Linked DNA regions of Oryzias latipes. The protein of the gene in region 2 interacts with the protein of the main gene of each other region in a biochemical or structural test. Links are inferred from orthologs where the notes say so. Each region holds a gene or a part of one and is shown on either strand. Other genes may lie near its edges.

The links. The genes of interacting proteins can lie anywhere in the genome.
Region 1: the proteins of rxra (region 2) and pou2f1 form a complex in vitro, tested with the Homo sapiens proteins (2 studies listed by BioGRID). The link is inferred for Oryzias latipes from reciprocal best matches to the Homo sapiens genes RXRA and POU2F1.

What each region holds. Positions count from the first base shown.
Region 1 is NC_019879.2:10,737,278-10,740,799, reverse strand, and holds part of pou2f1 (POU domain, class 2, transcription factor 1), read left to right. Parts: intron 1-579; coding exon 580-851; 3' UTR 852-3,522. UniProt on the Homo sapiens protein: Transcription factor that binds to the octamer motif (5'-ATTTGCAT-3') and activates the promoters of the genes for some small nuclear RNAs (snRNA) and of genes such as those for histone H2B and immunoglobulins.
Region 2 is NC_019870.2:23,010,155-23,013,676, forward strand, and holds part of rxra (retinoic acid receptor RXR-alpha), read left to right. Parts: intron 1-1,431; coding exon 1,432-1,564; intron 1,565-3,522. UniProt on the Homo sapiens protein: Receptor for retinoic acid that acts as a transcription factor.

The DNA of each region.
Region 1 (3,522 bases), on a different chromosome or scaffold from region 2:
GTTTAACTCAAAGTAAATGGGAAATGGTTCCATGTCTGCACATTTCATTAAATGTATTTCTCTTCTGGTTTTTCAAACATAATCTATAAAAAAGCAGAAACTTTCATCTTTTACTCGCTTGAATAAGCGGAAATTTTATTTTTTTATTTGCAGACTACTTTTAAGCGGTTTTAATGTTATAGAAATTGGATACAAAGCAGGAATAGTTTGAGTGAAGAGAACTTTTGATTTGAAAATACCTATGAATTTGATTATAACCATTTTAACCAAAATCAAGAAACCTGTCATTTTCTAGATAGCATATATACACATAACCTCTGCAGAGTGGCAGTAGTTCCTGATTCACAATGATTTGAATAACAAATACTCAAAAATGCAATTTTTTTAGCTTGATTTTCTTTTAAATGTCCTTCATCAACCCAAAAAGAACGTGTTAAATACACCTAAACCTTTTTTATTTATTAGGACGGATATTAAATACTTTGTTTTTAATACGTTTTTGTGAATGTGTCTTAGTTTTAGAAGACAGACTGGTGGATTTGTGGTAGAAACCATTTTGAGCTTCCGTCTCCTCCACAGCACTGGCGTCCAGCGGCACCATCCCCATCACCTCTCTGGACGGCGGGAACCTGTTGTTCGCCAACACGTCGTCCGCCAGCACGCCCGGCCTGGTGACCACGCCGCTATTTCTGAGCCCCCAGAACCTGTCGCTGCTCACCAGCAACCCCGTCAGCTTGGTGTCAGCCGGCGCCGGGGGGCTCCAGGTCACCGCGGACGCCAACCATCAGGCCACCTCGGTCGCTGTGCCCATGCAAACCTCCACCATCACCACTGCCTCCAAGGCCCAGTGAAGGCCGTGAGGCTGCGTCTGGATCTAACCCCGTTTCCGAGCACTATTCCTGTGGCGCCTCTTAGGGAGGGGGTTACTCCTTGGATTCTGGCCTGGCTGAACAGCCTTCTCATTGTATCTACCATTTTTCTTTTATCTATTTGCTGCCACCAAAAAGAAAAATGACCTCCAATCAGATTGGGACTCTTTTTTTTTCTTTCTTCTTTTTAATATATTTTGAATTCTCCTTAAAGAAACTTCTAACCAAAAACACATTTCACTTTTACAAACTTCGACACGTTTACTAATTCTATTCATCACTAACAGTTTTTGTTTGACTTTTGGGCCTTGATTTAAATCATGTGGATTTTTAGACTCTCTTCTTTATCCTCACTTTATATATTGTCGTGTTTTCAGAACTTTGTAAGTCTGATATTAAGTTAAGATTTAACTATCACTTTTGAATTGTGGTTAAAAGGCTTTAAAAACAAGTAATAAGTGGCCGATCTAAAGGTTATCATTGCTTTACGGGCTCGGAGAGTCGGCGCGCGTCTCTTCGAGCCTTTCTTCTGGAAACACTGACTTTTTACATTTTGCTGCAGCTGCGACGGCGCCGCTCGGTGGCGGCCTCGTAGACACTGACAGAAAATGACTGAAAAGGTGGCGAGGAAAGCTTTAGCGTGAGCTGCAGAGTTGCAGCGAGGGGGAGGTGTGTGAAATTTATAGGATTACTGTATATTCCGTTCAGTTGGGTGTTTCTGCGGTTTGCTTGGTGGGGGGTTGTTGTATTGTGGTTTTAATGTTTAAGTTCTTTTTAACAGTAGTACGATCTACTTGTGCACAGTATCTGTACCAAAAAAAAACAAAAAACTGGATAGATGAGCTGCAGTCTGCCTGTTTTTGGGAGGAATGAAATTCAGTCTTTTTATTCTGTCAGCTGACTGGCTTTCGTACTTTAAGATATACCAAAAATATTTGTTCAAATACTTGGTGTGTGTAGTTAGTGTAGCTTAGTTTAGTCGATATATTTATGAGTACAGAATCTCTTCAGAAATATAGAAATGCAATATTTTGATTACCATTTTCCAAAGATGACTTTTGTTTATAAAGTGTCTCACAGCTCAGTTTGTAATTGGCAGCACAACTAACCAAAAATGCAATGAATTGGTGGGTTTGGGTGCGAGAAAGTCGTTTTTATTGTTGATCTTTTTACAGTTTGGTCCTCCGTGTTTAATCCGGTTTTCTCTAAACGGTTTAGAGGCTCCTTTCACTATTTATTGTAGCAGTTTTAGACTTTTCTAAACAAAAGACAAAGTTTTTTTTCTTTGCTTTTTGTGCTAACTGTCAGCCATACGACAACAGCTTGAACCAAAGTGGTTTTTCTGAGTGGTTGCTGTGCCTGCCTGAGCGCACCAGCTGCTGTTCACACCATCTCTGCTCTCCCAAAACCGTCTTTTTCCTCCTGTCTCTTTCTCCCACCACAGTCGGCACCAGGTTCCCCCGATTTGGTGTCGCTGGATCCAAACCACAGAAACTGAGCTTTAAAGACTCGCTGCTGAAACTCCTGTTTGAGGGCGGCGAGGGGCCTGCATGCTTCCTGATAGCTTTACAGCTTCATCCTGTGTAAATCAGGGTTGTTGTTGGTTCTTTCTTTCTTTTTTTAACCCTTCTATTGTAGGGCTCACACTTGTAAATTCATCAAATTCTCCCCCCCCCTGAACGAGCCCCCACTTTGAACCTGTGATAGACGAAATGCTGCTCCCAGAATCCCTCTGTGGACGAGTTTTCGACCTGCCAAACATTATGTCCCTGTGCAGCAGGGGGAGTCAGTGCCGCCAAGTGCTACCCGTTGTGCTAAAGCCCACACAGACGTAGCATTGTTCTGCAGAGAAATGATTACTGTCGCTGGAAACAGTTTCCGCATCCTCCTCTTTTTTTTTTCTCTCTTGAATTACTGAATATACCTCAGCAGCACTTCAATATGAGGCTCACCTTTAGGCATTTGGGTGTATAGAACTTTCTAGAATGTATAAGAACTGTCCAGCTCCGCCGCTCAGACTTTATACATTTGAACCATGCATAGAAAGAAAACAGAAAAGGACAACCTACTACTGCTATTTTCTAGTACTACTATTTATGGGCTGTTTCCAGGTTTATGTTGTTTTGAAGTCCACTTTGCCGAAGTTGAAAGCTTTTGTGTCTGGTCCCGGACGAGCCCCCAGAACCGGGTCCGTGCTGTTTCTAGAGGCTAGCATGATGAAGCAGTTGGCACCATAGGATGTTACTGAGATATTTATGAGGAAAGACTTAAGAATTAGATAAACAATCTTTTCTTAACTCTATACATATAAATATATATATATATATAAATATATATATATATACACAAACACCTGTAAGATATTCATATTTTATATTTGATCCAGTATGTTATCAAGTCTGAATGTAGTGTTTATCATGCTAACTCGAAACAAATCTCCCCTTAATTTGTTTTTTAATTCAGCTTTTTATTTTCTTATTTTCTAATGAACTGATAAGACCAAAAAGAAAAAAAGGCGATGGGGCGTGTCCCGCCACAGCGCGCCCCCTGTGTCGATGGAATCTGATAGGTTGGAAAGTGTCAGATCTCGATCTACTTAATTTTCAGTTAAATAACTGTGTACTTGATTTGCTGTGCTGTCTTTAACAATCAT
Region 2 (3,522 bases):
GAAAATGTAAATAATATTTATTTAATCACCATCATTTATACCTTTAATTAGAACAGGAGATCAGAATCAACAAAACATAACAGATAAAAACACAAAGATTGTGTTACTTCAAAGCCAGTCACAGTCAAAAGTGTTTCTGTCAACTTCCTGGTTAACTTCTGCAGTAAAAAAAACATAAACATTAATGTTGTTTAGGGTCATTTATCAACAAATCCTTCAAATGTTTTCCACAATTTTTCCATCTTCAAAATTTTGTTGGACTACCGTTCCAGTCGATAGATGACGAGAAGATAGGGAATTGCCACAACACCTTAAAAAAATGACTCTTTAAAAACTAGAAAACACTGACACTTTACTTTGAAGATTTATAAACTTCCAGTGACAGTGGCACAAGTGGTTTATTTAATTTTTTCACTTAAATTCCAAACATATTCTCCATATTAAAGCGATATTACATTGACAAAAGTTTATTTTACCATACTTTACTATATTTATAATATTACTAATATTTCATCATATTTGTACTCAAATTTTCAAATATCCAAGTATTCTGTAATCAATGCAGGTCAGCACTACGCCAGCTAACTCCTTAAAGTTGGAAAAGAATGGTGTCAGGCTGCCCGACTTAGGCCACACTCCCATAATTACTGCATTAATCGGATTTTTGTGGAAAAGCAAACTAGCTGCTAAAGATCACAGATGCAGCTCCAAGCAGCATGGAGTGAATCATCTGTCACTTCTGCTACATTCACCGCTGCCACATGCTGAAAGCTCTTCAGGGTTCTCCCAACACATTGCCTACGTTCCAGGCCTGTCACTCCGAATTACACCATCATGTGGAAAAAAACAGATATGCGCAGCAGAGCCATCACTTTAAAAAAAAAAATGCTCCCATCATTTCTCCTCCTTTTCACATTCAATGATGGAGAGACTTCACCAGAGTAGAAAGACATTATTCTGCAGAGCTCGTCTCTTCTTTGCTCTCAGGTTTTCTATAAATAACCACTTTAGTTCTGCTGTATCACGGATAAAAGCATCCCAGCTTCTCTCAAAGCCAAATCAACTGTGGGGAGAAGAGGCGAGTGTTACCAGGCAGAACAGTTAAAGGAGCCCTGTCACTCCTGCAGCGGCGTCTAGTGTCTTCGCCGCCCCCCATGTCAGGCCCCCTGCTTTGGCACATCAAGCCTGTTGTCTTTATTGTGATGGCAGGCGCAGTTCATCCCTTTAACACGCCTGTCTCTTTAGAACACACGACTCAGATGTCTTAGTAATAACCTGATGCTTTTGCTTGGGAAAACTGCAGGGTTTCATGGTGCTTCTAATTGCTTCATTGGAATTCTACTTTTGTTGTCCATTTCACTTCATCTGAATGCAGCATGCACTGTTGCATATTTCTCACTTTTCTGCAATCTGTTCCCTCATCTTCCTCAGGTTGGAATGAACTCCTCATTGCATCATTCTCACACCGTTCCATAGCAGTGAAAGACGGGATTCTGCTGGCGACGGGGCTGCACGTCCACCGCAACAGCGCTCATAGCGCCGGAGTCGGAGCCATCTTTGACAGGTGATTTACTTCTACCTTTCTAAACTTTGACACCGTTTCCGGCCCCATATTTTAAAGGCTTGTAGTTGTGATTACATTGGCTCCTAAGTCATCACACACAAATCCTGCTTGAGCTTTAACAAACTTTAATATTCTGCTTTATGACAGCATCTGCCATTTATGTTTTATTTAACAAAATATTACACTTTTACTTGAAGTTTTGAGCAGTGTCGGAACTATTGACTGAGTCCAGTGTAATAAATATGTGTACCAATGCGTATTGGAGCTCTCAAGGAAACTCTGACCTGCTCAGAAGATGTAAAAAACTCCATGCAAAGTTGAGTGAAGTCAGGAGAACTCAGGAACCACGCTGGTGACGTTTGACGTTCTGGGATAGCTAGCTGAAAAACAGACGTACTCTCCTCAGCATCATCAGTCTGAGCGGATTCAAGATGGAATGTTTTGGAAGTTACTGATATACTTTCTGTAAAATCTTTACCAAAAAATGCATATGCCTTTTTTTAAGACACAATAATTTCAAATGTTGAGCAACACATGAAAAAAGAATTGATGTGACATGATCTTTCAGTAGAGAAATCTCTGCTGAAGTTTTTTTAGGAGTTGATGTTGGTCATTATCAAATAGAAAATGATACATATTTTTGTGTTTATAATTGTTTTTAAAATTTTAAGTTAATAAAAAAAATCAGCTAATTTTTTTTCTTCATTAAGATACCTGGCTGGCTTCTTAAATAAGAAAAAGGTTTTACTTTTATTTTTTTTACTCAAACATGATAATGGAAGCATCATGATGCGGGCTGGTGAGTCTGAAGAGTTGACCCAAAACCAACGCATTCAGTTCTTAACATTTTATCTTATATAGTAAAACCACAAAATCGCTGCCATAACCTCTGGAGAGTTGTGTGAAAATGCTGAAGTGACCCAGAATTGAACTGAACAATTAAGGATCTCTGATTATGGCCAGGCATTCCCAATCCAACCCAAACGGTTCTGCCAAGAACGTCGAAATTTCCAAAAGAAAACTGAGCCAAGCTCCTACAGTCATTGCCAAAACAATGGAAAAAGAAGTCCAAAATAAAACAAGCAAACAAAAAAGAAAAAGATTTCTGAGGTGTTTGCTTTATCGTACAAAAGTAAAACTTTGATGTGTTTGAGAGCAGAGCTGGAACCCTTTGATCTGCCCGGTAACTAGCATTTACAAGACCTATGCTATCTTTTCACTCAGTGTGGCAGAGATGAGGATTCAGGGTAGTGATTAGGCTTCATTACCTACTACCGTCTCTCTTTTGCCCATCCAAATGAAGAAACTAATGAACTCACACACTCCAGTCACCACTTCTGTCTTCCCTTTTTTTTCCTTGTTGCTCTTTTGGTTTGGAGCAAATTGAATTGTGCTGAATTAAGAGCAGCAATTGACCTGAGACTCCAAACGGGAGGGCAAGAAAGAAACGGACTAAGATGCAGTCATAGAAGGGGGAGCAGTTTGAGAGACACACCCACCAGTGATGCCATACAAACTGTCAGCTACTGAGCTCCATCCTTCATTTCCAAAAAAAGAGTAATAATAAATTATATTCAAAAAAGTCTATTTTTGAATTAGAGACATTTGCCGCATTAGCGTATTCACAGTACCTTGCTTGCAACACCTAAAAAAACAGACTGACAGCCCTAAACTAACATTAGTGTGACAATGTCAACTCCCACCTTCCTAGTAACACGTAAAAAAAACAGTTTGACGCTGCTACATGTTAGCTACGGTAGTTTATTCACAATAACACCCAGCCTTGCTTGCAACAGCACAACCAGAAATAATCCATATATAAGGCGCTCTGGATTATACGGCACACTGTCAATTATTGAAAAAAATTCAGACTTTTAAGGGCATTTTATTGTGCGGAAAATACCGTAGTAAATTTTGGCTTTTTAATTGGAAAAATCACAAAAAAATGAGATCAAACA